Kluyveromyces lactis: one gene and its partners. The protein of the gene in region 4 purifies or fractionates together with the protein of the main gene of each other region. This does not show direct contact. Links are inferred from orthologs where the notes say so. Each region holds a gene or a part of one and is shown on either strand. Other genes may lie near its edges. The genes, in order: TIF34, HCR1, FUN12, TIF5 and HSP104.

Evidence for each region.
Region 1: the proteins of TIF5 (region 4) and TIF34 purify together in Saccharomyces cerevisiae (affinity purification with western blotting; 13 studies listed by BioGRID, with this or other methods). This does not show direct contact. The link is inferred for Kluyveromyces lactis from reciprocal best matches to the Saccharomyces cerevisiae genes TIF5 and TIF34.
Region 2: the proteins of TIF5 (region 4) and HCR1 purify together in Saccharomyces cerevisiae (affinity purification with mass spectrometry; 5 studies listed by BioGRID, with this or other methods). This does not show direct contact. The link is inferred for Kluyveromyces lactis from reciprocal best matches to the Saccharomyces cerevisiae genes TIF5 and HCR1.
Region 3: the proteins of TIF5 (region 4) and FUN12 purify together in Saccharomyces cerevisiae (affinity purification with mass spectrometry, with the first as the bait; 3 studies listed by BioGRID). This does not show direct contact. The link is inferred for Kluyveromyces lactis from reciprocal best matches to the Saccharomyces cerevisiae genes TIF5 and FUN12.
Region 5: the proteins of TIF5 (region 4) and HSP104 purify together in Saccharomyces cerevisiae (affinity purification with mass spectrometry; 3 studies listed by BioGRID, with this or other methods). This does not show direct contact. The link is inferred for Kluyveromyces lactis from reciprocal best matches to the Saccharomyces cerevisiae genes TIF5 and HSP104.

The regions. Positions count from the first base shown.
Region 1 is NC_006042.1:694,827-700,633, forward strand, and holds TIF34 (translation initiation factor eIF3 subunit i), read left to right. Parts: upstream 1-2,766; coding exon 2,767-3,810; downstream 3,811-5,807. Other genes in the region: KLLA0_F07359g (uncharacterized protein), read right to left, coding at 307-1,275; KLLA0_F07381g (carboxymethylenebutenolidase), read left to right, coding at 1,476-2,288; KLLA0_F07425g (uncharacterized protein), read right to left, coding at 4,351-4,554. UniProt on the Saccharomyces cerevisiae protein: Component of the eukaryotic translation initiation factor 3 (eIF-3) complex, which is involved in protein synthesis of a specialized repertoire of mRNAs and, together with other initiation factors, stimulates binding of mRNA and methionyl-tRNAi to the 40S ribosome.
Region 2 is NC_006041.1:1,750,004-1,755,520, reverse strand, and holds HCR1 (translation initiation factor eIF3 core subunit j), read right to left. Parts: upstream 4,051-5,517; coding exon 3,217-4,050; downstream 1-3,216. Other genes in the region: DLD1 (D-lactate dehydrogenase), read right to left, coding at 924-2,654; PAR32 (Par32p), read left to right, coding at 4,744-5,211. UniProt on the Saccharomyces cerevisiae protein: Component of the eukaryotic translation initiation factor 3 (eIF-3) complex, which is involved in protein synthesis of a specialized repertoire of mRNAs and, together with other initiation factors, stimulates binding of mRNA and methionyl-tRNAi to the 40S ribosome.
Region 3 is NC_006042.1:2,170,604-2,177,489, reverse strand, and holds the start of FUN12 (translation initiation factor eIF5B), read left to right. Parts: upstream 1-4,061; coding exon 4,062-6,886. Other genes in the region: KLLA0_F23331g (uncharacterized protein), read right to left, coding at 1-13; KLLA0_F23309g (uncharacterized protein), read left to right, coding at 731-1,717; GTP-binding protein RBG1, read right to left, coding at 2,291-3,400. UniProt on the Saccharomyces cerevisiae protein: Plays a role in translation initiation. Translational GTPase that catalyzes the joining of the 40S and 60S subunits to form the 80S initiation complex with the initiator methionine-tRNA in the P-site base paired to the start codon.
Region 4 is NC_006041.1:549,292-555,219, reverse strand, and holds TIF5 (translation initiation factor eIF5), read left to right. Parts: upstream 1-1,337; coding exon 1,338-2,534; downstream 2,535-5,928. Other genes in the region: EMC2 (Emc2p), read right to left, coding at 1-807; BIR1 (survivin), read left to right, coding at 3,109-5,445; SCF ubiquitin ligase complex subunit GRR1, read right to left, coding at 5,622-5,928. UniProt on the Saccharomyces cerevisiae protein: Catalyzes the hydrolysis of GTP bound to the 40S ribosomal initiation complex (40S.mRNA.Met-tRNA[F].eIF-2.GTP) with the subsequent joining of a 60S ribosomal subunit resulting in the release of eIF-2 and the guanine nucleotide.
Region 5 is NC_006042.1:1,665,838-1,672,881, forward strand, and holds HSP104 (chaperone ATPase HSP104), read left to right. Parts: upstream 1-2,444; coding exon 2,445-5,144; downstream 5,145-7,044. UniProt on the Saccharomyces cerevisiae protein: Required, in concert with Hsp40 (YDJ1) and Hsp70 (SSA1) and small Hsps (HSP26), for the dissociation, resolubilization and refolding of aggregates of damaged proteins after heat or other environmental stresses.

The DNA of each region.
Region 1 (5,807 bases), on a different chromosome or scaffold from region 4:
GAAAAAGGCTTTTATCAGTCCCTATCAGATAAGCGTCCGCCAACCTCGCGTTCCGCTCCGACGATATCTTCTATGTTTACCCTCTGTTCTCGTATATCTGTAGATATCAAAACGTATCATATACATAGCTCGTTATAGAATGCTTTCTTAGGCTTGAAGCGTAAAGCACTATTTTTCTTCTGTAATTAATTAAGAAGACCCCTTGAACGGTTTTAATTTGCCAAACATGTCACCTACAGAACAGTGTAGTAAAAGAGAGAAAATGAAATAAAGGGCCAGGCCATCATAGTACGAAAACGCCCTTTGTCAAGTCCGTTTTAGAGAAAAACTATCAGAACAAATGCGGTCGATGGTATTTACAATATATTCCATCTGTCCGATCGGAACTTTTACCCATTCTCTGTGTGTTTTTTGACACACTTCGCAGATGATGTTACCCTTCCCGTACTCTTTCCACAGCCATTCATGGATTTCTCGCTCCACGTGACCTGAATCTTTACAGCGGAATCCGTTTTCTGTAAAGCATCTGTCAGATTTATTTCTTGATCTGCCTGTGTCAGTAATGGTGGTGCTGGTGATAGTAGTATGTTTTACAATGTTACTGTGGTTGTTTAATGCCAAACGACATAACTTCTGAATGACATTCGACATTGAATTTATGCTCTTGGGTTTTGTAGTGGAGGAGACGATCCATTGACGAACTATTTCGGGCGTTATTAGTATAATGTCTCGTTTGCACTGTTTTTGCCATTCATTAATTCGTTTAGAAACATCACTTCTTCTTGTCATACCTATTTTGATCAGAATTTCGTCTTTATTGTGCTGCCAGGGATCGAAGCGGTTGTTACGTAGGATCAATGCTTGATTCTTACTGGGTTTCATCTTACTATTGTCGGTTACTAACCATGTAATCTCTTTCCTATTCTTCTTTTCCACGACAGCATTCTCATGTAACGTTGCGTAAGTATATATGTAGATGTATTCTGGGGTATCTTCCGGTATATAGGGTGTTTTGGTTGGGCTGGAGGTTCCGTTGTTTTGGTTAATATGATGTCTACAGAACTTTCCACCCTCTATGGCTTTTAGCTTGCATTTTGATCCCTTTCGTGTGGTACCAACGCATTCTGGGGCATCATGCGGCATATGGGGTGCTTTAGTTGCAATAGAGGTTCCGTTGTTTTGGGTACTATGATGTCTACAGAACTTCTCACCCTCTATGGCTTTTAGCCTGCATTGTGATCCCTTTTGTGTAGTACCAACGCATTGCGTTCTCATCAGGTTGTCTATCCTCTATTCAATGACAATGGCAAGTATAGCTTTCTTTTCTTTGTATCCTTTTCGATCTCATCAGATGGATTGTTTTCTAAATGTCAATACACATAAATATCTATTTCCCGTCTTCTTGATAGAAAAATCTGAACATGTAAAAACACCATCATCAGACAATGGAGACCAAGCACAGCTGATTTGAAACAATGCTTATCGAACAGTGTCACCAGGATTTACCAACATCTTTCGATTCTGAAATCAGAATACATATCGTGAAGCCTACCGTTAAGGGCTATCCAAATGCTAAATTCCCTGCTGTGTTAGTCTTCTCTGAAATTTATCAGGTTACTGGACCTGTTTTGAGATTCGCTCAAACGATTGCTGCAGAAGGTTACATTGCCATTTTACCATCTTCATACCATAATTTTGTAGATTCTACACCCTTGGCGTATGATACTGAGGGTACTGATCTAGGTAACAAATTCAAGATTGAAAAACCCTTAGAATCGTATGATGAAGATGTTACGTTGTGCCTTGATGTACTAGAAAACCTACCACAATGGAATGGAAGAGTTGGTGCAACTGGCATGTGCTTAGGTGGACATTTGGCCTTCAGAGCTCAACTTGACTCCAGAATCAAGGCTACAACATGTTTCTTCCCCACTGATATTCACTCTCACTCTTTAGGTTTGGGCAAGAATGACGATTCATTGGAAAAGGTTACAGCCAATTGGAAAAAGGACCAGGAATGTTTCTTGATTTTTGGTACCAAAGATACTCATGTGCCATGGGAAGGCAGAGATCAAATTAGAAATGCAGTGAAGGATAAGTCTGTCACATTTTTAGAAATCAACGGTGCTCAACATGCATTTATCAGAGACGAATTCAGCAAGGGGAGATTCGATTCCGCAGTGACAAAAGCATGTTTGGGTTTTATGTTTGAGTTATTTGATAGAAAGTTGAAGAGTGAACTAGGAGAGTTCGTTGACGACAATGCGCCTGTCGAGCATGTTTGTTAGACAATGCGATCCTTTCATGTGAAGCCAACTATACATTGATATATCTATATACTTATACTTATACTAGTGCAGCAAAAACCAAAGGTTTCAAACCAGTACCCATAATATGTCATGGAATCTCGTTCTGAGATCCGTATGGACACACTCTGAGAGTTTATCATCACCAAGTGACACAGTACTTCTACTTGGGATGCTATTTTCCTCATTACCCTACCTTTAACAGATTTCTTTTATCAGTAAAATTTTCCAAGCGTAAGTAAAGCCAGAGAGCGTATTATCACAGAGGAAGAAGCTTTAGAAAATGAAAAAGTGAAAGAAATTGATGAATTAGTGAAAAAAAATTCGAAATACACAGTGGGATTAACAATATATTTTCAAGAAAAAGCTTAGAGCAGCTTCAGTACTGGTTCAAGGATTATTCGGAACCAACAGCAATAGCAGATTCTGATCGAACTCAGAAGTATAAAATATTGAAAAGATGAGACCAATTGTTTTGAAGGGTCATGAACGTCCATTAACGCAAGTTAAGTTCAACCGTGATGGTGACTTAGTTTTTGCTTGCTCCAAAGATAGTGTTGCCTCTATCTGGTACGCTATCAACGGTGAAAGATTAGGTACTCTAGATGATCATTCTGGTACTATCTGGTCTATTGATGTTGATGAAAGCACAACTTATGCGTTGACTGGTGGTGCTGATTTCTGTTTCAAGATCTGGAAAGTTGCTACAGGTGTAGCAGTCCATTCTGTCTCTACCAGAAGTCCAGTTTTGAGAGTCGAATTTTCTCCAGACGGTAGCAAACTTTTGATTGTACTTGATGCCGTTATGGGTCACATTGGTTCCATTGTTGTTTACTCTTTGATCAGAAACGAAAACGGTGAAATCGTGAATGTGAAGGAGGAACCAGACTACGAAATTACAACCATCGAGCAAGCTACCAAGGTGTTCGTTGCATCTTGGTCCTACAATGGTAAGTACATCATAGCAGGTCATGAAGATGGTCAAATCAGTGCTTACTACGGTGAAAACGGGGAATTCGTTCAAGCAAAGAAGATCCACGAAAAGAGCATCAAAGATATCCAATTCTCTCCAGACAGAACTTACTTTATCACTTCATCCAGAGACAGTGTCGCTTCTTTGGTGGATGTCGACACTTTTGAAGTTCTAAAAACATACAAGGCTGATTGTCCATTAAATAGTGCATCTATTACTCCTCTCAAAGAATTTGTAATCTTGGGTGGTGGTCAAGATGCTAAGGATGTCACAACTACTAGTGCTCGTGAAGGTAAGTTCGAAGCCAGAATTTACCACAAGGTATTCCAAGATGAAATTGGCAGAGTTAAGGGTCATTTCGGTCCTTTGAATTACGTCGCCGTTTCTCCAACTGGTACATCATATGCATCTGGCGGTGAAGATGGTTACATCCGTTTACATCATTTCGATAAATCATACTTCGATTTCAAATACGACGTGGAAAAGACATTTGAAGTGGAAAGAAGGCAACAACTGCAAAAGCAAGAATAAACTTGGTCATTCATCTCATATCACACATCTCTTTTTCTTCCATCGATACAAATCTGATGACACCAGTGTACATTATCCATACTTTTCACAACTCTATTCTGGCACTAGATAACCTATTGACGCTCCCGTTTTTCATCATTCAATATTAGTATACCAATAACTAAACATCATTAGTTGCATATTATTTTACATACCAGAGTTCTTCCATTGCGAACTCTGCAAAGATGTGTCCGTTTACCCCAAAAACAGTGATCCACGGCTATTGGATTCATCGTTGTTAATAACTAATGTTTTCATTCATTGCTTATATTGCTAGGATTAATGCGGAAACGGTTTTGCTAGATAATTATATGTACATTCAATTACCCATGTAAATTAATGTAAAATAACCTAACCTTCAGACACAAACTTTTAGAAGAAACGTCCCATCATATGTGAGCCCGTCAGCTAAAATGTGTAAGACGTATGAAAAGATCTTTAAAACTTCAGTAGCATACTTCGTTGAGAGTAAACGTAAAGGTTTTCTATCGATGTAAGTACTTACCTTCTCTTCTCTGCTGCCAGTTTCTCAAGTCTTTCCTTTTCCTTTCTTTCATTTGCAGCTTGTTGTTTTTGCCTCAGGATTTCTGCATCGGATTCCATACGTTTCTTGGGATCACCTTGTTTCTTTTGGTTTTTACCGCTTTCTTGTTGTTTTTTAAGGTTCTTCTGTCTTGCCAGCTCACGCTGATTGCCTCTTGCCATTGTTCAGGTTTGATCGTATACGGTTCTTAGAGAAAGCCTAAAGAAAATACAAAAAAAAGGGAGCAAAAGAACAACACAACTAGTTAAAGTGTGGAGGAGTATGGCCCTACCAGTGAGATGCTCTGTCTCTGTTTCCTTTACGCAATCCAATGGCAGTTTTATTGCGTAAGTTGATTAACTAATATCATCATCTCATTTCAAAAATACTTCAATTTATAATTTCCATTCCAATTCCATAGTTTTCTCTTCGAGAAACTTGTCAATTCCATAAGCGGTACAATTGAAAACGAAAATACGAACGGTTGAAATCTAGAGGAGATCAAACGTGATTTACGGTGATTTATAGAATTTGTATCTTAATTCATTAACGTCAATTCTACATAAAAGTGAGAGATCCTTGCGTAAAACTATTCGATGTGTAAAAGTATCTTGCATGAAAATGTCAAACATCTACTGTTACTTTTCAATTTGGTAGTAGAACGTAAAACAACCGAATAATTCACAATATTTCCTTGATAAAGCGACTATTTAATCTGAGCTGCTCCAATTTACACTGGGCCGGTCAAGGGCTCTCCCTGCCAAAGAAGGTTCCTCTAATTCAGGTGTTGCCGCAGTTCCTGAATTTCAAACCTTACTTTTTGTTTTCGTATTATGCTGGAGTCTTATTCTGGAACTGTTCCTCGACCCTCACGTAGTAAACATCCATTAAGACCGAAAACAGAAAACCTTTAGGTAGCGAATAGGGATATCACATGACTAACATAACTTTTTCTCTAGTCTGTTTTCTCAGTGAGGTAAAAAGAGGTGCTCATTGGCTTTTAACGTACATAGAAAACATTCCTACTTAAATGTCTGCTACGATTATTTATGTATATATATACATATATATATATATATATATATATATGTTAAAAAGAGGTGAATAAACTTGAAATGCCAAGAGCTATACTTTGATACTTTATTTTCGAAGATGGACTTTCAGCTTGATCTGTTGGGCTTTATTTATAACCGTAGATAGCTCTCAAGAGATATCTGGTTGTGTTCTGATCTTTCATTTGTCATATAGCTTGATTTCTAATACGTTTTCTATTGTGGTTTATTCTGCGCTTAATTGGATTAATCAATACTAAAAAAAATACAGCGGCTAGCACTATTGAAACTCACGGTTCTTTACTCTAAGACATATTACTTGACAATCAAGAACTTTTCTAATACCATAGATTACTTTTGAAAGATTTGCTGCTGGTTAATTT
Region 2 (5,517 bases), about 1.2 Mb from region 4:
TCATTATGATCCGATTGCTGATAATATTACATAACCTATATCAAGTACACATTCAAACCCTCCCTGAGTCTGGGGATCCTATCCCACAAATACCAGTACAGATTGAATCCCACAGAGAATATTAACTGCCACGAATACTGCCATGTATATGTGCGTATATTTTCTTAGCATCTTCAATTAGCAAACTGTCGTCAAACACCGTGTAGTATCGTTTTTTTTTGCTATCAACATTTTGCGTTTGAGAAAGACAGACATACAGAGCAGGAAAAAAGAACAGAAATAGAGCAATCACTTTGCTGCAGAAGGTGGAGAGTCTCACTTTGAAAGACATTCAGGACGGTTGTCAACTTATCCATCGGAATAGTCTATGAAACTTGTAAGAATGAATTTGTGTTACTATGTTGTCGTTTTAGACAATCCGCAGAAAGTTCAGTGAATAATATAATGAATGGTGAACAATGAATCGGATCTCATCTAACTCGTTAGTCACATGATTAGAAATGTGCTGGTTCTTAACTTGGTTAATGTTTATATCTCAGGTTTTTTTAGGCTTTATAGAGTTTTCTAGTTTCTTACGTATGAGTACATTGCGGCTATAAATCTTGCCGAACCTAATTTCTGACTTGCGTCAGTTTTTGATCAGACAGTCCATTTGCACCTTTGATGTAGAGGAACGTGAGGTTAATGATGACTAGTAGTGCTGCTCTTAAATACCAAAGTTATGGTGTTTTATTTTGAATATGATTAACAATAATGACTGGCAGTTTGTATGGATTGAGCGTAATAATTACAGGGAATTTACCTTATAGTCTATTTTTGTTGTTTTTAGGGAAGAGTTCGTCGTCGTATCTGGTATAACATTAGTTAGTATTACCATTTTCATTAGCGTCATTCATTCATTAATGATAGAACCGAGGGTCAGATTAATGTTGATGATCGTTTGGATCAATCTTGAAGATCTTATCTGGATTCAAGATTCTCTTAGGATCCAAAGCGAGCTTCAACTTTCTCATAACTGCAACAGTGTCTTCACCAACTTCTTCCAACAAGTAGTCTCTCTTACCGATACCGACACCGTGTTCACCGGTACAAGTACCTTCAGCATCAATGGCTCTCTTGACCATATTTTCAACAATAGTTTCAGCTGTTTTTCTTTGTTCAGTGTTGTAGATGATGAATGCATGGAAGTTACCATCACCAGCATGACCAACCAAAGAGGTTAATAAACCAGATGCGTTCATTTCTTCCTTGGTAGCATTAATAACATCTGCGAATTTCGAGATTGGAACAGCAACATCGGTTGTCCAAATGTTGGCATCTGGGTTGGTCTTTCTGCCGGTATCAATGGTTGACCAAAGAGCAACTTTTCTAGCTTCCCATAGTTCTAGCTTGGAATCTTCATCAGTAGCAAATTCAAATTTGGTATTGTTGTGTTGAGAAGCAATTTTTTCCACTTCTTTAATGACTTCTTGAATAATCTGTTCAGATCTACCACCAATCTTGAAGAACAAAGTTGGAGATTCGACCCAGTTATCCTTTGAAGTAGCACCACTTTGGTTGATGATTTTCATCATGTTATCATCCAACAATTCCATAGCATTCAATTGAATACCGGCTTGAATCAAATGAGAGGAACAAGATGCAGCATCACTGACAGTTGGGAACGGAACGACAGCGACAGTTTCAAAAGTAGATCTAACATGACATTTAATAGTAGCTTCAGTAACGATACCCAAAGTACCTTCACTACCAATAATTAACCCGTTCAAATTGTAACCAGCAGACGATTTTCTAGGTCTTCTCTTGGTCTTAACAATAGTACCATCAGCCATACACATAGTAATATTAACAACGTTTTCCTTCATGGTACCATAACGATAAGCGTTGGTACCAGAACAAGAATTAGCAATGCAACCGGCGATTTGAGCACCTGGACCAGGGTCACAACCGAACAACAAACCATGATCGTTCAAATATTCGTTCAATTCTTCCCATGGAACACCACCTTGTACCACAACATCCAAATCCTCTTTATTCAATTGAATAATCTTATTCAAATATTTTGAAATATCCAAGACGACACAAGACCCTGGTCTAGTTGGTAGGAAATGCCCTTCCAAAGAGGTACCACCTGAAAATGGGATCACTGGGATAGAGTATTTGTGACAGATTTTCAATAATTTGGAAACATCTTCTGTGTTGCGTGGATACAAAACAATTTCTGGTCTTTGATTAGCTTCAGCATGATGAGAGTTGAAATAGGTATCCGAATGAGCATCCAAATCGTCCTTAGCCACAGTGAAGTTTTCAGGATCGTTTTCTAAGACATCTTTCAATTCAACAAGAGCTTTAGCAAAAGTTTCCTTATCACAGTACTCGGGAGAATCAAGGTCTTCCAATCTAGCAATGGACAAATCACTCACGGACTTTTCCTTCTCGAACTGAGAGCCTAGAGCATATGCAACAAACCCACCACCAATTAAAGAACCACCAAGAACGCTTAAAATGGCGGACGAAAATCCACCGCCGTTATTACCGTTAGAAGACGAATAATGTCTTTTTGCAACGGCAGTGGTCCTAGAACGCAGAACGTCCTTACGTAGTTGCAGCGAACCACGCAAAGCAAAACCGGATCTTCCAACAAACCTGAACATTGAGTTGCGTTTCTGGTCTTTCTTGCACTTTGCGATAACAAGTACACAAAACAGCTGCTAAGTTACCAAGTTTCTCTACCAAGTTGTTACCTTATTATATAGTATATTGATATGCGGAATACAGACGGCGTTCGATTATACATATATATATATATATATATATAAGTACAAGTTCATAGCTGAGAAAAAAAAAAACAGTTCAAACGCGGAATAGGAACAATCATATACCGTCGACTCCACGACTTGGTTCATCCACCCTTGTTTTGATACATATCCGGCTTGCTCTCCTCTGGTCTTCTCTGGCTTTTCTTTGTTGCCGGATTTCCATGATGATTTTTCACTTCGTAGCGTGGGATGTAGCGTGGATCGGATCTTGTTGTACTGGTTTGAGGCAGCACTGGGCCAGTGGAGAGTCAAGAGCGCTCTCAGATTCGGTAGATGAGAGAGAGAAAGAGCGACCGGGCTAGCGAACAAGACTTGGGCAATATTAACAGTTCAATTGTTTACGTTCTATATATGATATGTGATGATGATATGTGATGAGATCTGTTTTTTTTTTCTATTACATGAAATCGTCTTCTCCGAAATCGTCAAAGTTATCGTTACCACCTAGGTCGAAATCGTTATCCTTCTTGAAGGCACCGCCGAGGTTAGCCCTAGTAGCCTTGGCCTTCTTCTTACCGGCACCGCCTGTGGCGGTGCCTCCCTTGACTTTGGCCAAACGAGCTTGTCTTTCTTCTCTTTCTTTATCCTTCATCAATACGTTCAATGTCGCAATGGTTTGTCTGATGTTTTCGACGGTCATTGGTTTGGAAATGTCTCTGATCAAGTCGATGGCTAGTCCACCAGAGTAGTTCAACAAGGATTTGTTGCTTGTCGAGGTGATTGCGGTAGCCAACGCTTTCCTTAATTCTTGGTAATCTTTTTTGGTTTCCAAATCCGAGAACAATGGGTGCGATTGGATTGGGGTATCCTTGGTCAACGCAGCAGGTTGGGCGACAGCTGCAAGCTGTTCTCTTTCACGTTCGGCGCGGGCTCTTGGATGTTCTTCTGCGACGCCAAGACCGCCGAAAAGGTCTGCAGCGTTGTTCAAATCAGATTCCAGTTCAGCCTTTCTCAATAGTTCTTTACGGGTCTTGTCGTCAAGAGTATCGATATCGAGCATGGTGTTCTTTGTAGCAGCTGGTGTAGCAGCTGGTGATGGAGAGGCTTTCTTTGGAGCCTTGGCTGCAGCTGCTGCTGCTGCCTTAGGCTTAGGTTTAGCAGTCTCCTCGTCCTCCCAGGACTCTAGTACCGGCTCATCGTCGTTTTCAGCGAACTCATCATCCCATGAATTCAACACTGGCTTCTCTTTGGAGCCACTTGGCACTGCAAAATCTTCGTCGTCCCAGGACATTGTTGATTGATAATTGATCTCGGTTAGGGTAGAGCTGCTGAAAGCAAGTGTTTATTGATTGTCCTCGTTACAAATTCTTGTCAAGATGCTTATGGGTGGCATTAAATTTCGATTTTTGGGTCTTTTGGGAGCTGTTACCCGGGGCAGTGGTCTTCCTTCCTCCGTCCCTCCCTTCTGCCGCAAAGACTGCTACGTCAAACCATCATATTGCATGTAGAACGAAAATACCCTGCTATAGACCACGATTTTTTGTCTATCCAGAGTTCCACTGGCACCATATAACATGTTAATGATCACTTCCCTTTTAATGGTACCCAATTGACGTATTCATATCCTGTTCTGCCCATTATGACGCTCCAAAATTAATTTATTTTTGATACCTATTTCTCAAAATTAAATAGTTACTTTTTCTGGCGTCACTCATGCACCAGGCTCCTCATCATCCCATACGACCTTCGGTCCCTTATCATCGATTCCTTGACCAACACACAATTAATGATCAACTCTCGATCCGAACCTTTTTTATATATACATGTCAGTATTGAAAACATAAAATGTGCATCCATTTAATAGTTGTTGGTCCAATCTAACCATTGTGATATAGGCTCGTGACAAGTGGACCTAATCTGGAATAGTTGTTTGGCAACGCAATAATAAAGAAAGTATCTTTGGGAGATTATTCAATATATCGGCATGGGTGAATATAGAGTAAGTACTGGAAGAGGAGGCGCAGGAAACATGATAACGTCGAACGAGAAACCTTCACCGAAGGTTGTGACACAGGGTTCCCAGACCCCCAATATACTATCGCCAATTTACTCTACGGGTCGCGGTGGTGCTGGTAATATGAGGAGGAATGTGGACCCGGTTATGACACGCACCGCACAGGATGTTGACGATGACGACGTGATAGACGTGACTTCTTCAAACAATACAGGAACCATCAAAAAGATCAAGTCGAGACGCTTCTCGGAACCTCCAAAGACCATATCGATCGGTAGAGGTGGTGCTGGGAACATACTAAGCCCTAAATCGTCAAGAAAGAAAAGGGATGAGAAGGGCTCTAAGAATTCCTCCACTGGAGACAACGGATCGAGTCACGTGGACGAAAAATCATCAAAGAGTGGGTTCTTCTCCAAATTGAAGAGTCTTTTCAAGTGAATCGCCACCGATCAGCTCTTCTCCTTCCTATCTTTTCATCCCTCACACTTGCATAATGAGACTATATAGTCCTCCTTCTTCTTCCCTTCTCCTTTTTTATTAACGTAACGAAATGAACTTTAAAAAGTAATCAAAAGATACTTCTTCTGTCTTCATGAACATTGGGACACAGACCCTGACAACTTGAAACAGATGTAATTGTACATATAATACTGCATAGCCTTTCTTCCCTCTATTTAATAAGGCATTTTTAATATATAAGTAATTCATAATATTGATTTTTATCTCTCAATCAAATCTCATTCA
Region 3 (6,886 bases), on a different chromosome or scaffold from region 4:
ATTTGATTATCATATTACAAAAGCTATCCTTTCCTACTTAACTATATGAGACAATTGTTTTCTCATTTTACTGCGAAATTAGGTTGGTTACAAATCTACGCTATACGTTGCTATTAAACCACTAGCTTATGTTTGTAAAAATACCCTGTGTCAAGGGATGGACAACAGGCCAAAATCTGACAAGTAAACACTTTGTACTGGTGAATCTTTTATTACACAAAGTGTCGCCTTTCATTTATGTCTTGGAAAGCGTCACAAGAAAATGGAGGAATGAAAAAAAAAAAGGCATACAGTAAAACAAACGATGCTTCGACGAATTAAACATGCACTTACAATCAGCTTTCAGCTTTACATTATTATCTGATTGTCTGATTTTTGTCGTTGTTTTTGTTCTCATTCCGCCTCCGTTGTACCAGCATTAAAGCCTTTGACCGAGCTTACACCATTTCCATTACTTTACTAGAATAAGCCTTTAGAGCTTGAAAAATTCATTTTTCTATTTTTCAGATTTTTGATCTTTTGGCAAAAAAGAATACTAACCTCATCAATGCGACTCACGTAAGGCTTTGACTCAGGACAAGAGCGGAGTGAGCTTACTAACTGGCATTGAACCTCATTTGTATAATTCGAGTATTGGTAACAACTAGCCTGTGTTTTGCTCTCTGTCTCAATCTTTCACCCTACTTACAATCTGTGGTCCGATATTCTTTATGGAAAAAAGCAACTAGACATGTCTCACCATAATAATTATGCATTGGCTCATACGTTGAACCAGATGAAACCCCAACAGTTGAGTAACAATGTGTTCTTCGGACCCTTGAACACTTTATCACAGTATGACTTCTTGAGTAAGAATGATATCAAGTTTTTCATCAGTGTTGGTATTCCTGTTGAACGTGCAATGGAGTATGCCAGGAACATACAGTTGGACCAATTTATGATATGCTGTCTCGATAAAGAATTTGACCGTACCAGATTCAGTGATGATACCATGAGTAACATCCTGGAATTCAATAATAAGCATTCTGTGGACTTGAAAACGCTTATACAACACGTTTCTCTATCAGAAGAATGCGCTGCCCAACCTCTACAATCGCATTTGTACAGGTCTGTTTCGGAGTACACCACCAATATTTATACTGCTGATGGTGTGCACAAGTTTGAATGTTTCAATGATTTGATTACCTTGTTCAAGCTTGCAAAGATGGGGAACATTCTTGTCTTCTCTTCGAATGGGAATGATGAGAATTTGGTGATTCTTTTGATCAGTCATATGCTCAAACAGAACCCATCTATCAATGTTGTGGATGCTTTTAGTTACGTTAAAAACTTGAGACCTACCGTTAACAATATGAAAGAGGATAACATTTACTGGTGTAGCGGTCTCGTGGCTTACCATGAGCGTGTTAAATCCAAAGAACTGACGTGGAGGCCGGGGTCAACCAACGGCTCTTCGACTGAAATAACAAACTTTGCGACAAAAAGACGCGAGCAGTTTGAGGAGGATGAGGCAGAAGATGGAGATATATCTTTCGGAAATAAACCATATTCAGATGCTGCTAATGATGCAATGGAATCTATAGCATCAACTCCATTTTCTGAGAGCGACTGCAGTTATTCTTCTGATTTCCAAACTCCTGAGCCTGATAACAGTTCTGCATACAACGCAAGGCAATACGCAACTCCACGACTAAAAAGAATGGCGTTAAATAAATAAGGGATTTATTTCTCTGCGAATTTATCCGTTATTCAATGGAATACACTCTCATCAGTAGGCTGCATTTTCCTCCAGATTTCCTTGTTTGTTAATTCAAGCTGTACTATATCGCACCTTAAAAGGATTCATTAAAATACTGCTGTGATTTTGAGGATTCCACCAATACTATTCACATTCATTTCTAATAGAATAATATTCACTTCGTCAAATAACCGAAGTTTCATTCATTCATTCTTTCTTTCCATATCACCATCAGCATCCATCATTGCTTTTATATCTTAACATATATGTTGGCCAATATAAAAAGGCCATATGTATCCGTTGCTATCGATTTCACAAAATATCATATATTTACTACTATTTATGAATTTAAACATAACACGACAAATCAGTATTGAGTTAATGTTTAACAGAAGTTATGGCAACCTGAGTAATGAACGTTTACGATAATCTAACCAGATCCGTCTATGGAAAGCTGTTAAATAAAATGGATAACACTACATGAAAATGCGATGAAAATGCTAAAAACTATGATGACGGTGAGAAGAATGAGAAAAAAAAAGTAGCCTGTATTCATTTCTTCAAAATTGTGACAACATCTTCATCTTCTAATGTGTGATTAAGCCCCACATATTGAGGTTGATGCTTCACACTGCTGCCGTACACTAAAGCATTTCTGAAGTCCTCAACTAAAGATTTGTGAATTTGGTTACAGAAATCTCTTACGGTACACCTATCCGACCTTAACACCACTGGGTCTGTGAAATCAGGCATCGTACCCTTTGGCTTAGTATAAACACGGACTAAGTTTAGTCTATCCCACATAACTTCTAGTAGTTCATCCAAATTCCATTCCTTACCAGAAGAGATTGGAACTGCATTTGGAATTCTGTATAAAAGTTCCAATTCTTCTAATGACAAAGAATCTATCTTGTTTAGCACATAAATAGCTGGCATATACCTTCTTGATGGAGCTTCAAGTACATCAATCAAATCATCGACGGTGGCATCACATCTGAAAGCAAGCTCCGCACTGTTGATTCTATATTCACTCATAACAGCTCTAATTTCGTCCGGGCCTAGATGCGTCAATGGTACTGTATTTGTAATGGAGATACCACCTTTTTCCTTTTTCTTGATTAAAATGTCTGGAGGTTGCTTGTTCAAACGGATACCAACACCTTCCAATTCCTTTTCAATGATTTGTTTATGATGCAATGGTTTATTAACGTCCAAAACAATAAATAGTAGATTACAAGTTCTGGCCACAGCGATAACTTGTTTACCACGACCACGGCCATCTTTAGCACCGTCAATGATACCCGGCAAATCCAACATTTGAATCTTAGCACCCTTATATTTGATGACACCTGGAACCGTAACTAAAGTGGTAAACTCGTACTCAGCAGCCTCAGATTCTGTACCAGTCAGCTTAGAAAGTAAAGTACTCTTACCCACTGAGGGGAACCCAACAAATCCGACTGAAGCAACACCGGTCCTGGCCACATCGAAACCAACACCGGCACCACCACCACTACCGCTTGAAGCAGCCTGCAATAACTCTCTTCTAAGTTTCGCTAGCTTAGCTTTCAACTGACCCAAATGAAAAGAAGTGGCCTTATTCTTTTGGGTACGGGCCATCTCATCTTCGATGGCCTTAATCTTCTCTACTGTCGTAGACATCTTTTATTTCAATTCAGATATTGATCAGGAAATTCTTCAAAATAAATCCTTTTTTTATAATTTGATGCCAACCTCAGTGGAATACTGACTGATACCTATCGATTCCAACCGTTTAACTGATTTTGGCCTCTGTAACCAAACTATAATGAAACTCTAATATCATTAATCCTAAGCGATGAGATTGTGAATATCTGTAGAACTTCCTACTGTTGACAAAGATGAAGCTGTCAATTTTTTTCAAGCCGTCCAAGGTGATATTTTATACATCTTCAACGCCGATCGTAAATAGCGATGCTGAATGGCATCGACCGGTCTTCACCCCGAAAATAAGGCTAATGGGACCTTTCTGGCCCCTGAAAGATGAATTTTGGGCGCACCTCACCAAAGACAGGGTAATCTAGTATGTTATTTTTTTCTTTCCATCGAGGTACGTATAATCATGAACTTGAAGTTTTTCATCAGTTTTTTATTTTTTAGTACAGGTTTTTCTCACAACTTAAAACTATTTGAAAGATTGTTTTGCGTAAGATCAATTAAAAGGATTTTACATTATCTCTTTACTTGTTATAACCCTCTTTTACACTTTGTTTGCTGTCTATCATAATAAGATTTCGGAAGAACTGTAAAAGTAGAACCTTTGTATCCGAAAGAGTAGTTCAAGATGGCGAAAAAATCAAAGAAGAATCAACAGAATTACTGGGACGAAGAGTATGAGGAAGATGTTCCTCAAGAATCTTCAGTAGAACCCTCGATAGATGGTTCTGTTGAGCCAAGTGGTGAAACCGAAGTTGCCGATGCATCTGCCATTGAGGAAGATTTTATGTCCACTTTGAAGAAATCTAAGAAGAAGCTGGACAAGAAGGAAGACGAGGATACTAAGAAGCCAGTCTTGAAGTCCAAGAAGGAAAAGGAAAAGGAAAAGAAGGAGAAGGAGAAGGAGAAGAAGAGGGAACAAGCCGCAAAGAAGAAGGCTCAGCAACAAGCGCAGAAGGAAAACAACAAGAAACTTCATGCTGAACAAACTTCTAAACTGAAGGCTGAAAAGGAGGCTGGCAAGTCCACTGAAGGTGCGGCACCAAAGGCTGCACCAAAGAAGAAGGTCCCAGCCGGTCTTGCTGCTTTGAAACGTCAATTGGAGTTACAAAAGCAGCTAGAAGAAGAAGAAAGGTTGGCCAGGGAAGAAGAAGAGAGATTGGAGAAGGAAGAAGAAGAAAAGTTGGCCAAGGCTGAACAAGAAAAGGAAGAAGCTAGAAAGGCTAAGCGTGAGAGAGAACAAGCTAAGCGTGAAAAGTTAAAGGCAGAGGGTAAACTTCTAACTAAGAAACAAAAGGAGGAAAAGAAACTGCTTGAAAACAGACGTGCTGCTCTATTGGCTGCCGGTAACATCAAGGTTGCTGGTCTAGAAAAATCCGGCGATGAGCATCCAAAACCAAAGAAGGTTGTTTACGGTAAAAGAGTCAGAAAGACCAAGGAACAAATCGAGTCCGAAAAGGCAATCGAAGAAGAGAAGAAGAAAGCTACTGAAACTCAAGAAGTCGAAGAAGAAGAGGAAGCGTTGATTGATGACTGGGAGAATTTGGCTCTTGACGATGAACCTGAAGAACAAGAAGGAAAAGAAGAAACAAGTGAAAAAGAGCAATATTCTGGTTCTGAAACTTCTAATGCTACTACTCCAGCTCCGGAATTATCCACTGAAGTTACCAAAAACTATGCTTCTCAACCAATCCCTTCCAAGAGATCTGCAGCAGCAGCAAAGAAAGATCTTCGTTCTCCAATCTGCTGTATCTTGGGTCATGTCGATACTGGTAAAACCAAGTTGTTAGATAAGATTAGACAAACCAACGTTCAAGGCGGTGAAGCTGGTGGTATTACCCAACAAATCGGTGCCACTTATTTCCCAATTGACGCTATTGAACAAAAAACCGCAGTTATGGCTAAGTATGAAGAACAAACCTTCGATGTCCCAGGTTTGTTAGTCATTGATACACCAGGTCACGAATCTTTTACCAACTTGCGTTCCAGAGGTTCCTCTTTGTGTAACATCGCCATCTTAGTTATTGATATCATGCATGGTTTAGAACAACAAACCATTGAATCCATCAGATTATTGAGAGACAGAAAGGCTCCTTTCATCGTTGCCTTGAATAAGATCGATAGATTGTACGACTGGGTAATTACACCAAACAACTCTTTCAGAGACTCCTTTGACAAACAAGAACGAGCAGTTAAGCAAGAGTTCCAAACTAGACTTGACAACATCAAAGTCGCTCTTGCTGAACAAGGTTTGAACTCAGAATTGTATTTCCAAAACAACAACCTAGCCAAATACGTCTCTATTGTTCCAACATCTGCCGTTACAGGTGAAGGTGTTCCTGATTTGTTGTGGTTGCTATTAGAATTGACTCAAAAGAGAATGTCTAAGCAATTGAAATATTTGTCTCACGTTGAAGCTACAATTCTTGAAGTGAAGGTTGTTGAAGGTTTCGGTACCACTATCGATGTTATTCTATCTAATGGTTACTTAAGAGAGGGTGACAGAATCGTTTTATGTGGTATGAACGGTCCGATTGTGACGAATATCAGAGCCTTGTTGACACCTCAACCCTTACGTGAGTTACGTTTGAAGTCTGAATATCAACATCACAAAGAAGTCAAGGCTGCTCTAGGTGTAAAAATTGCTGCAAATGATTTGGAAAAGGCTGTTTCTGGTTCCCGATTATTAGTTGTAGGTCCAGACGATGATGAAGAAGAAATGATGGATGACGTCATGGAAGATTTGACTGGTCTTTTAGACTCTGTGGATACTTCTGGTAGAGGTGTTGTTGTTCAAGCTTCTACATTGGGTTCATTAGAAGCTTTATTAGACTTCTTAAAAGACATGAAAATTCCTGTTATGTCTGTCGGATTAGGTCCTGTTTACAAGCGTGATATAATGAAGGCTTGTACTATGTTAGAAAAAGCTCCTGAATTAGCGGTTATGCTATGCTTTGATGTCAAGGTTGATAAGGAAGCAGAACAATATGCTGCAGAACAACATATCAAAATTTTCAATGCTGATATTATTTACCATTTATTCGATGCCTTCACAGCCTACCAGAAGGAACTACTTGAAAAGCGTCGTGCTGAGTTTATCGGTGACGCTACCTTCCCATGCGTCCTGAACACTCTACAAATCATTAACAAGCGTGGCCCTATGATCATTGGTGTGGATGTCATTGAAGGTTCATTGAAGATCGGTACTCCTATCTGTGCAGTGAAATATGACCCAGCAACAAAGGAGAGAATAACATTGTTGCTTGGTAGAGTCACTTCCTTGGAAATCAATCACCAATCTGTGACTGAAGTCAAGAAGGGTCAAACCAATGCAGGTGTTGCAATGCGTTTAGAAGATCCTTCCGGTCAGCAACCAATCTGGGGTCGTCATGTTGATGAAAAAGATACATTGTATTCTCACATCACTAGAAGGTCCATTGATACATTGAAAGA
Region 4 (5,928 bases):
ATTATTTTGCTGAAGTTCTTGCAATTTTCTTACAGCTAATTGAGTTAATTCAGGTTTTTTATTCAGTTTCTGAGATGTCTTCAATACAATACCCCAACCTTTCACGTAGGCTTCTGCCAACTCAACAGATCTCAACGCATTTGATAAACTTGATTGCAAAGCAGCTTCAGGGTCAGAATCTGATTGAGACTTCAAGTAATGCAAATAAGCTAATTGACCAAATGCTTCATAACTGAACGGCACCCCAATTATGACTTCTTCCATGCAATATATTGCTTGACGTAGGTCCCCAGCCTCCTGGTATTCTTGCGAAAGTAACGACCATATTTCTGCATCTAGAGGAAACTTCTCAACCAGATCCAGTAGTTCTTTTACCCATTTTTCTTTACTCATCGAAGGTCTCTCTATCGCAAGTAGCCTTTTCTTCATCTGTACGTAGTCTTCTGAATCAGTAGCTATTTCCAGCTGATTCTTGATCAAATCCTCGATATATTTCTTAGCCGCATCATCGGATCGAGTGACCTGTATTAACATAGAGTGCATCACATGAATTCTTGGAGAATCGTCACCTAGACGATCTGTCACAGTTTTGTACAATGTTTCAGCCTCTGTGTCTTCACCACGAACAAGACAAAGATAAAACAATAATTCGACCATTGAGAAATAACTAATTTCGTCAAGCCCATTTAACCCAGCATCTATCAAAAGTTTCGTTTCCTTATAAGCCAAATCAATTTCTTTAGGTGGCAGAATGGCCCATGCGCCAGTCTTATGGATTGCCAGTAATTTGTTCTTAAGTAAATCCATGATATGAACAAAGTTAGATTTCGACCCTAAGATGTATGTGAGATTCGAGCACAATTTCAACACAGTAAATTACTCACTAAATTCCACGAGCAGTAATTGTATTGAAGGTATTCAAACATTTAACACCACCATACGTATCTCACCCATGTTATACCCTGTAATATGTCTCTTACAGAACCGATGCTTAAACAATCACAGAGCCAAATGAATCGTTGGAGCTAAAGCACGTGACACATGCTCCGTTTCGACATGTATTTTCATATCACCATAAACGACGAAAATTTTTCAGGAATCAAGGCCTCAGTATCTGATTGCCACACGCGAAGAGTTGAAGTTGAACTTCTAAGAGATGAGATGAACTTCTTCCATATACATGATTCAAGAAGGCGTTAATGACCCCGTTTTACAGTCCAATACAGGATCAGTTCGAACTTACTTTTAAAAGTTTTTGTGTTTTCCAGACTTGAAGAACGTCAAAGACACGGTGGTAGCAGAAACAAGTGACTAGAGATTAGTAACAGTAGCCGAAGATGTCAATCAATATTTGCAGAGACAACAATGACCCTTTCTACCGTTATAAAATGCCTCCAATTCAGGCTAAGATTGAAGGTAGAGGTAATGGTATCAAAACTGTTGTTATGAATACCATGGATGTTGCCCGTGCTTTAAACAGACCAGCTCCATACATCATCAAATATTTCGGGTTTGAATTGGGTGCCCAAACTGCTATCAATGTTGAAAATGATCGTTACATTGTCAATGGTGCTCATCAACCAGCCAAATTACAGGACGTATTGGATGGTTTCATCACTAAGTTTGTCCTTTGTGGATCCTGTAAGAATCCTGAAACTGAAATTGTTATCACTAAAGATGGTGATTTGGTTAGAGACTGTAAAGCTTGTGGTAAGAGAACCCCTATGGATTTGAGACATAAGTTGTCCTCGTTCGTCTTAAAGAACCCTCCTGACAGTATGAACGGTTCCAAGAAAAAGAAGAAGGCTGCCACTGCGTCTGCTAATGTCAGAGGTGGTGGTCTTTCTATTAGTGATATCGCTCAAGGTAAATCCCAAGCTGAAGCTGGTGACGATGCCGAAGAAAACGATTCCGATGATGATGAATTGGCCAGACAAATTAATGCCGCTGCCTCTAACTTGGCTACCATTGAAGTCAAGGATGAGGACTGGGCCGTTGATATGTCTGAAGAAGCCATCAGAGCTCGTGCGAAAGAATTACAAGGTGAAGCTGACAAAGAAACTGGCGAATTCTCCAAGTTGGAAGAATTTGGTGAATGGGTACTACATGAAGAAGAACTACCTACCGATATTGAATTATACAAAAAGATTGCAGAACTCGAGCTTCTGGAAGATCCAAAGGTTGCTGCAGTTCTGGCCCAAGTTCTTTTCGATGAAGATATCGTATCGGATATCTCTGAACATACTGCGTTCTTGCAAAAATTATTGAAGGACGAAGACTTCGAAAAGAACTTTTTGGGTGGTATTGAAAGATTCCTTGGACTTGATCACCAAGAATTGATCCCATTACTACCAAAGATCTTGGTCCAATTATACAACAACGACATCATTTCCGAAGAAGAGATTATCAGCTTCGGTACCAAATGCTCTAAGAAGTTTGTACCAAAGGATGTTTCTAAGAAGGTTCGTAGAGCTGCCAAGCCATTCATCACTTGGTTGAAAACTGCCGAAGAAGATGATGAGGATTCGGAATAAAGAAAATCATGATCTTATAAGAAAATGGTCAAAGTTCAAATACTATTCAAATTTTAACCAGATTTTTCGGTGTTTCGTTTTCTATTTATCATCCTAACCATCTCCTTGTTTTGCATTAACAGAATAAATATCATTTTCATTTTATCAAGAGCGAACTAAATCTCTTCAATATTTATCCTTTAGCTCTGTAAAATACTGTATGTATACTATCATATATACGCATATGTTTAATACATTCATGACCTTGCGCATACATCATTAGCGGCTCAAGAATGGCACTGATAGGTGCGCCGTGCCGACCTGCCCTTGTCTTCTTATAACCTATTTATTGTCTTTCAATATTCAGCTGTGATGATCCTTTTCTCTCTTTTGTTTACACTTTCGTGGAAAAAGAAGACACAATTTGAGATCAAATCATATTTACATCCTGAATGGACAAGAAGAATACTAGGTCCTGTCAAAAGAGAAGAATAGGGTGCGAATCTTGTTGGAAGAAGAGTAAAAATACACTTTCATCAGACGGTTTCATTACATGAATGATCTGTAGGTTTGATTTCTATGGCGTACTGTAACAATGAATGATTCCAACCTCTCGTCTGCAATGGATCTTTCATTCCTGTCAGAGGAATCGAGTTTGCAGCAAATAGGCTCTTTGAACACGCCTAAATTGCCCAAAGCAGAAAAGCGTAAACGTGGTAGACCGAGAACTAAACCTGTTGTACCGGTTGAATTAGATGCAAATGGAAATCCAATCAAAAAACAACGAGGACGACCACGAAAGAACCCAACCACAGAAGCTCGTAAAAGCGCCAAAAAAGAACCTATATTGGATGAAAATGGTCTTCCGGTAAAGAAACGGCGAGGAAGGCCTAGAAAATCTCTAATTGATCCAACTAATATATCTTTTACTTCAGAATCTAAGAAGAATACTACCACTGATAATAATAACAATATCCAGGACACATCAGGAGGTATTCCAAAAGCTTCGAGAGCTAAGCATTCTCACAATGTTCTTCCAATTCCAATTCAGCCAAAGAAACGAGGACGACCCAAGAAAACTGAATCGATTGTGAGCGTAAGGACAGAACAATTGCATGAAGATATGAACTACTCAAATGATATGAAACTTAAGATTGAAAAGATCCTACATAAGAAAGATAACTACCCAAATCTAATCTCTTCCAGAGATACCTTTGATCCTAAAAAGTCGTCACACCGGAGTGACGTGAGTGAACTTGAATCTTCCCCGGTTAAAGATAATAGCCAACGAAAAAGTATACATTGTGCGTCAAGTAGTATTGCGGGAGTGACGGACAGCATTTCAGCGTATAGTAGCAAAGGTTCAACATCATTATCATCAGATGACTCTTATAAACCTGAAGTTGACCCGCTCGAAAAAGTACAATCAGATCATCGAGCAGATAAGGGCCGAATAGAGTTTGGTGATAACACAGCATCTGATCAACTTCAAAGAGGCACTGACAGCGCAATTCAGACACAAGCACCTCGGAAAAGAGGAAGACCAAAAAAATTACGAGATGAGACTGCGGAGCCAAAGATAAAAAGACCCAGAGGGCGTCCACCAAAGGACAAAGACAATAAAGATAAAAATCAATCTGCTTCTAACACCGAAAAGTTACCTGAAAATCAATGGACACTAAATGACATTATAAGTTGCAGAATGCAACAAAAGGATCAATTAGAAGCTTCTCCAAAGAAAAAAATAAAACTTGCGAAGACAGCAGCTCAATTAGGGATTAATGACTCCAAGGGTTCCCAGGTGGGAGAAACTTCATTTATGCAATCTGTTGAAAAGAATAAAGATGTTTTCTTAGACTTTAAGAAGAACAAAGAAAAAGCCACAAAACCCAACACAATCTTGGATGACAGTTATGATGTCTTCAGTTTTGACAACAATGGAACGAGCAACTTTGTGATACCTGAAGAGGCGTTCCCTGCTCAGAGCAGTAAAAAGAATAAAACCGAAAAATCAAGCCCAATGAAGCCTTTAAAAGAGCAACTGGAACTTATTGATACTGATATAGCATTCAGCGATGAAAGTGAAAATGATAGTGATTACTCTCCCAATGACAACCAGGACGGAGTTCATTCATCACCTGTTCAAAGTTTACCAGATCGTGAACGAGATTTGCTTCGGCCTAAGCAGAATCCAATAGATGAGCCAGAACTCGCCAATGACGTTTCAAGAGCTCAAAATAGAATGGAACAGGGTGCCGATATTAGCAATGAGCTAGTCGAAAGTCACGCTAACAATTTGGGTGCGGATAACACGGAGCGAAGAACTTCAAACCGATTATCAGATGAATGGTCTTTATCTTTAACATTCCAAGATGTCAACGGGCAAGGAACACCAGATGTATCGCCCTCCAACAAGCCAAAAGTATCTTTCGCACCATTTCCCTCCTCACCAGACGTGGACACTAAAGCTGTCATTAACAATTCTAACCATTCTACGGATCACCCACATCTGGATCAAAAATACCAAGATGCAGAATCAATAACGCAGACCACTCCTATTGAAAGCCTACCAAAATGGAACGTATTACATAACAGTGAGCTAACTTCCTTGAGTGAGGATGTCTTAACACTTAATAAGTATTTCAGCGATCTGTTATTGTACATGAATAGAATTGATGCTTCATTGGCTTCTGATTTAACGGGTGAGCTGACTTTTTTCATAAACAGCATGCCTAATGAGGAGCTTGCCCTGAACTTCAAGAACTGGATTGATCAGAAAGGAAAGGAGATTTTTGAATCTTTTGAAACCACCATTAATACAAAAATAGAGACATTACAACGACAATTCTCAACAGCAAAGGAATTCATACAGCAAATCGATGACGACTCCGTCTTGCTTGAGTTTGCTAATAGGTTTAATATTGACTTCTGACGAAATACGTCAACTACATAAAAACAGAGACACAAACATAGGGGTTTCTACATATATCGATTGACCAAACAACGGCGTCGAAAAATTGTATTAGTATTATTAGTATTATAATTGTTATCATTATCATCGACACTACGATCATATTTCTCCGTGCTAATTTCTTCACTTAACTTGAGTTACTCCTCAATGATTTGATCATCCGGAGTTTCTCTATTCTGTTCGTTTCCGGGAGGTAAGAAGAGCCTCAAATCTATATTATTATCATTGTTATCAGTTTCTTCAGCCACAGTTCCTCCTGGTGGTAATAGCATATTGACACCCATGTCAATATCTCCCTCTCCGTCAGGAAGATCATTAGCAGCCTCTCTGTCCCATGTTTCCCTGGCACGTTGTAAAACCAATTCTCTTTGACGGGTAAGTACTGTCAAACTTTCCTTCACGTAAATTCTCAACACTAAAGCTGTAATCTTAAAATTTCTCATT
Region 5 (7,044 bases), on a different chromosome or scaffold from region 4:
TAACAAAATTAATGGACGTGCACGTCCCGCGACAGAATAAAATTCAAAATAAAAATATATACACTGAGCACAGAAACCAAGATGTGCAGTGACACAAAGGTTTCTCTTACCTATTTTCTGACATGGCTCTCTGATTCTGTATTTGTACCCCATTCCTTGTCACGCTGAAATATTTTAAATATATAAACCTCTTTGTATAGGATAAAATTACTTCTCTTTTTACCGTCACAAAAGGCACTTCTCTTATTCTACTTTACAGTATTATTACCACCTAGAAACTCTCTAAGGAACTTTTTAAATAAGCACTCGTATTCCAACCGGTTTTTTAAACAAGTCCAGGAAAACAAACTTACCAAAGTCTTTATTCAATTACACTTAAAAGAATATATCTGTCATGCAACAAAAAAAGCTAATTCCAATTTTAGTCGCTCTTCCAATAGCACTAGCAGGTGCTGATAGAGAGTCTGCGCCAGTTGTTTATGAAAATCCAGAGAAAGCCTGCTACCTTGCAGAATTTCCTCAGGTTGGCTCCGATAAGGTTGGTGGATACATCACACTTTCACTAGTCTTGATGGAATTGCCAAGGTAAACGTCAGAATATCGACTTTGGAGCCAAAGCTTCAATATCACATCCACGAAAAACCAGTTGATCCATCCGATCCAACTTGTGAGTCTACAAAAGAACACTTGAACCCTTACAATGGGCAGGTGCCATGCGGTAATGATATCTCCAAATGTGAAGTTGGTGACTTAAGTGGTAAGTACGGTAACATCGACTACAGTTATTACGAGACGGAATATTTGGATCCATACTTATCATTGATCGAGGGTGATCCCGCTTTTGTTGGAGGTAGATCAATTACCTTACATTATTCTAATGGTACAAGATATGCATGCGCTGACATTGTTCCATGTGAGAAATTGAAGCCATCTCCAAAACCACCAAAGGAAGACAAACTAAAGGAGGACGAACCAAAGGAAGACGAACCAAAGGAAGACAAACCAAAGGAAGACGAACCAAAGGAAGACGAACCAAAGGAAGACGAACCAAAGGAAGACAAACCAAAGGAAAAAGATCCAAAGGACGACACATCAAAGGACGAAAAGTCTGAGGAAGAGAAGCCAAAAGAAGATAAAAAAACCAAGAAAGAGAAGAAAAAGGCTAAGAAGGAAGAAGAGAAAAAGCAAAAGGAAGATAAGAAGAACAAAAAACATAGTGACAAGAAGAACAAAAAACATGATGATGATGATGAATACTCCGAAGCTGAACCTTCAGTGACTGAAGAAAAACGTGTTGAGACGAGTTTCACCAAGAAACCACATCACACTACCTCTGCTGCATTGAAGGAAGGTTACAAAGAGGTAAAGAACGAAACGGACACTGAATGGAAAACAGATGACGGTCACTACAATGGCACTGAGACTGATCATTCTACTGCCCTAAATGATGCTTATAATTGGAAGAGAACTTCGTCCATAGGCTCCATTATTGCTTTCATGATGTCCTTGTTAATTTGATTCAAAAACGAAAGATCATCACGCACATGAGCTGGAATATCTAGTTATACATATGTAGATCTTACAAGGAAAATAATAATATGTTGCTATCCAAAACTTGACACAATGCCAATGATATTGTCTTAATTAACGTGAATTACAAAACTGACGCCTGACATCGAAACAGAAGTGCGTTCCAAAAACCTAGCGTTAAATTTCAAAATCTATCACGTGATGGTGATCCACTTGTTCCAGTTTTTTTCTTCGGTTTTCTTTGTGGACATGCACTTTCGAGAGTCTTCCAGAAAAATCCGGTAATGTTCTAGCTATCACGGTTCCGGACTCTAGCTTAGAGCAGAGTGAATTTTAAGTAGCTTTACAATCCCCACACAGCTTCTACATTGCCGTAAGCAACATGCTGGGATAGCTGGTTGTTTGATCTAGTATTCAACTAACAATAAGGACGTACTTACAATTTTCTATTTTACGTAGCCATGAACGTCAGTCCCAACGGTAATTTAAAAGCTTAACCTTGAGTGAGTGAATTATTCGAGAATGTACTGGTTTATACTGGAAAAGTAATGTAGTTGTTAGAGCTTTGTTTGTCTGTGAATTGGGCAATACTAAAGCTGGGACTGGTACCGGGAGATAGGGGTTGAGGTATATTTTGCTTTGCTATTAGTTTTCTTAATAAGGTGATTTTAGGGTATCTTTTGATAGATGCTTATAGAAAGAATAGGTGAAAAAAAAAGTTTATAGAATATAAGCGTAGTGAAGAGGTATATAAAGGGAGACCATCCGAAGAATCATTTGTTGAGTGCTTCCTGCTTTGGAATTCAATTACATCAATTGTATCAATAGTGGTCTATCTGATAGAAATAAACAACAATTGTCAGGATCATCAAACGCATCAACAGTTTATTGTCTAGAAAGAAGATATTACTACAATGAACGACGAAACACAATTTACAAATAAGGCCAACGAAATTATCCGTTTGGCCCAGAAATTGGCTCAGGATCACAGACATGCTCAGTTACAACCAATTCACTTACTTGCTGCATTTGTTGAGCCAAACGAGGATGGTTCTGTTGGATTCTTACAAAACTTGGTGGAATTAGCGAAATATGATTATGAACCTTTGAAAAGGGCCATCAACAGAAACCTAGTCAGGACTCCATCTCAGACGCCCGCACCATTAGAAATTCAGCCAAGTTATGCTTTCGGGCAGGTCTTGAAAGATACTTCAGAAATTAGGAAACAGCAAAAAGATTCATTCGTCGGTCAAGATCATATATTGACTGCTTTGTTCAAAGATGCAACAACTCAAAGCATTTTTAAGGAGTGTTCCATTGACATAGAATCTGTGAAGCAGCAGATGCTCGAATTGAGAGGCAATCAACGAATTGATTCAAGAGACGCTGATACAAATGAAAAATGGGAATATTTGAAGAAGTATGCGATCGATATGACTGAACAGGCTAGAGCAGGTAAGTTGGATCCTGTTATCGGTAGAGAAGAAGAAATTAGAACTGCCATCACTGTTCTTGCTAGAAGAATCAAGTCAAATCCATGTTTGATCGGTGAGCCAGGTATTGGTAAGACTGCCATTGTAGAAGGTGTTGCTCAAAGAATTATCGACGATGATGTTCCACAAATTCTACAGGGTTGCAAATTATTTTCTTTGGATCTTGCTGCATTGACGGCTGGTGCCAAATATAAAGGTGATTTCGAGGAAAGATTAAAAGGTGTCTTGAAAGAAATCGAGGAATCAAAGACTTTAATTATATTATTCATCGATGAGATTCATATGTTGATGGGCCAAGGTGTAGATGATTCTGCCAATGCTGCTAATATTTTGAAACCAGCCTTATCTCGTGGTGGCTTGAAGGTAATTGGTGCCACTACCACTAACGAATATAGATCTTTGGTCGAGAAGGATGGTGCTTTCGAAAGAAGATTCCAGAAGATTGATGTCCCTGAACCAACGACAAGGCAAACGGTAGCTATTTTGAGAGGTTTACAGCCAAAGTATGAAATACATCATGGTGTTAGAATTCTAGATAGTGCCCTAGTGTCTGCAGCTCAACTAGCTAAGAGGTACTTGCCATACAGAAGATTACCTGATTCTGCTATTGACTTGGTTGATATTTCATGTGCCGGTGTCGCTGTTGCTCGTGATTCTAAGCCCGAAGAATTAGACAATAAAGAGCGCGAATTGCATTTACTACAGGTTGAAATCAAGGCATTAGAAAGAGATGAAGAAACGGATCCAACGACAAAAGAAAGGCTACAACAAGCCAGACAAAAGGAAGCTTCATTAATTGAGGAATTGGAACCAATGAGACAGCGTTACCAACAGGAAGTGGATTCTCATGAACAACTAAGACAAGCCAAAAAGAAGCTCGATGAATTGGAAAACAAATGCATGGATGCCGAACGTCGTTACGATAATGCTACCGCAGCTGATTTGAAATACTTTGCTATTCCGGATATCAAGAAACGTATTGAGGAATTGGAACAAAAAGTTGCTGAAGAAGAATCCAGGGAAGGTTCTGAAACAATGGTGAAGAACGTGGTTAACAGCGAGGTTATTGCCGAGACTGCCGCTAGAATGACCGGTATTCCAGTGAATAAACTAACTGAATCTGAAAACACAAAGTTGATCCATATGGAACGTGAGTTATCGCAACAAGTTGTGGGTCAAATGGAGGCTGTGAAAGCCGTTTCTAACGCTGTCAGACTTTCTAGATCTGGTTTGTCTAACCCTAATCAACCGGCATCTTTCTTATTCCTAGGTTTATCTGGTTCCGGTAAGACTGAATTAGCTAAGAAAGTCGCATCCTTCTTGTTTAATGATGAAAAAGCTATGGTCAGAATCGATTGTTCAGAATTGATGGAGAAACATTCAGTTTCGAAATTATTAGGTACTACTGCCGGTTACATTGGTTACCAAGAAGGTGGTTTCTTAACTAATCAATTACAGAGAAGACCATACAGTGTGTTGTTATTTGATGAAGTCGAAAAGGCCCACCCTGATGTCTTGACCGTTCTTTTGCAAATGTTAGATGACGGCAGAATCACTAGTGGTCAAGGTAAGACAATTGACTGTTCGAACTGTATTGTAATTATGACTTCTAATTTGGGTGCCCAATTTATCAATGCTCAGACTGGATCAAAGGTTACTGAGGGTTCCAAAGAGTTGGTGATGAGTGCCGTTAAAGCACATTTCAGACCAGAATTCTTGAATAGAATCTCAAGTATCGTGGTATTCAACAAGCTTTCTCACAAGGCCATTCACAAAATTGTTGATATCAGAATCAAAGACTTGGAGAAGCAATTTGCGGATAATGATAAGAATTACAAGATCAACGTTTCACCACCAGCTCGGGATTTCTTGACCAAGAATGGTTACTCGGAGGATATGGGTGCTAGGCCATTGAACAGATTAATTCAAACCGAGATTTTGAACCCAATGGCAATCCATATCTTGAAGGGTGAGATCAAAGACAAAGAAATTGTCAATGTAGAAGTGGGTGCCGATGGATCTCATTTAGAAGTTTTACCAAATCACCCAGCTTCATCAGAAATTGGTGATGAAGACATGGATTTGGACTTGGACGACGATGACGACTTAGACCTAGACTGATCTAAAATGAATTACAAAAAGAAAACATACAAACAAACTCACTCAGTAATAAAATTTCAGTTCAACAGTACCATCATATATAGTGTAAAGTACATATTTTTTTCACTTTCTTTAGTATAATATTTTGACTTTTACATGTTTTCATGTTCATAAGAGGTGCAAACCAATGGTGCTGCTGTTATTCATACAAGCGTACTAACTAAGCATTCTGGCTGAGTTTGTATTACATGTTACTTAGATGGGCAGGGTTCTTTCAGCCTTTTTCACTGATTTCCCAAGTCAGTAAGTCCAATTTTGCACATGATTCAAAAGAATTTGATTGGTCTTTCTTCAAATCATGCTTCTTTCCTCACGAATGTTAATCTTCGGCTTTTTTCCTCTTCTTCCCTCGTTCCGTGGAGTTATTGGCTGAGTAACATCCCATATACCTTTCGTTCTGGGCATCGCTAAACATGCTTGGTAAAGAGATAGACGTAGATCATTTTCCCTGAAAGGCTTCCATTATTACATGTCAAAAATTAGCAGGCAATCAGATGGACTAAAGCGTACGCTCGCATTTGGATACGAGCCTCTCTATAATTCGAAGACACACGTACCAATGTGTGGGATAAGACGCAAACGCGTCGGAAGGGAAGGAACGGAAAAACGCTTATCGGCCTCTAAGAAAGAATGCAGAAGCGAAGAAAATCCAGCACTGTAAATTCGTTTCATTTCGTAGATTCATCTCAGGTGCCTATTTTTTAGTTTGTATGCAAAAGGACATGTGTTCTCCTTGGTTTTTTTTATCTACAGAATGAAGGAGGCCGGATCTTGGCAGTAACTGTTGTTCGGATTACAAGATTGAAATGTTTCTGGCTTATTAAGAGTACAGGAACTTGAGGGTGATTTACCGGTACTTTGTTTGGTTCGATTTACTATTTTATTGATTGATTGAATTATGTCTTACAATTGCCATGGTTACCACAATTCCTATTGTGCTAACAGATACTATAATTATTATTTATTTACCTGTGCCACGCTAACTAGTTCAAGTGCGGATTTGTTTTGCATATAAGGAGAGCAACCCGTTTTTTCCCAACTCTGCCGTTGCATTTTTCCAACACCGTTTTGAGTATGAACAATGTGCCGTATTTGCATGCAAGTTAAAAAGAAAAAACAGTCAATAATGCCACTGTGGGTAAACTCATAATTGTCATGTTGCCAGGGTTTCTTTCCATACCAAACGCGTACTGGAGGTAATCGACTTTTTTTTATTCTAAATCAGGAAATTCAAATACCGTGATGCAATGCCACTACATCAATATGTACATTCCCGAAATTTCCGTTGGTGGATTCCGAACCACCTTTAGCTCCTCGTGCATGAGGCACTTACAGTCGCGTCTTGGCTGGACCCGTAGTAGTATATAGCTATCTATTCTATATATCGTATACCCGATTTTGCATTATCTTACAGCCGAGAGCCTGTGCTTACATTTCCGGTTAAACAGTTTGAGATATTAGGGTGATTTCTTTTTGTAATCGGCTGCCAAACTAAGGTTTACTCCTGATTTGAAAATGTGGACTGTTTTTGGCATTGTTTTTTCTCTAAATTCTCTTTTCTTTGCGCTTTTTTTGACATTTTCTCTGATTGTGCTGTACAGATAAGACGTTCTGAACCATCACTACAAAAAATTATGGGAAACAATTTCTATTCTGTTTACTTGAAGAGCAGGCAATATAGAGATTGCCATTCTAACTGACATCCTACTATGTTTTTTGTGAAAGCGAAAGCCTATCCATTTGCGTATATTATTGTTGCACTACTAGATTCGTGAAAGGATTATCGTGCCGTGACATATTAATGCATGATAAAAGCAGGAAAAATAGGGTCTGATCTAAAGCATAGCTGCAGTCGCCTTAG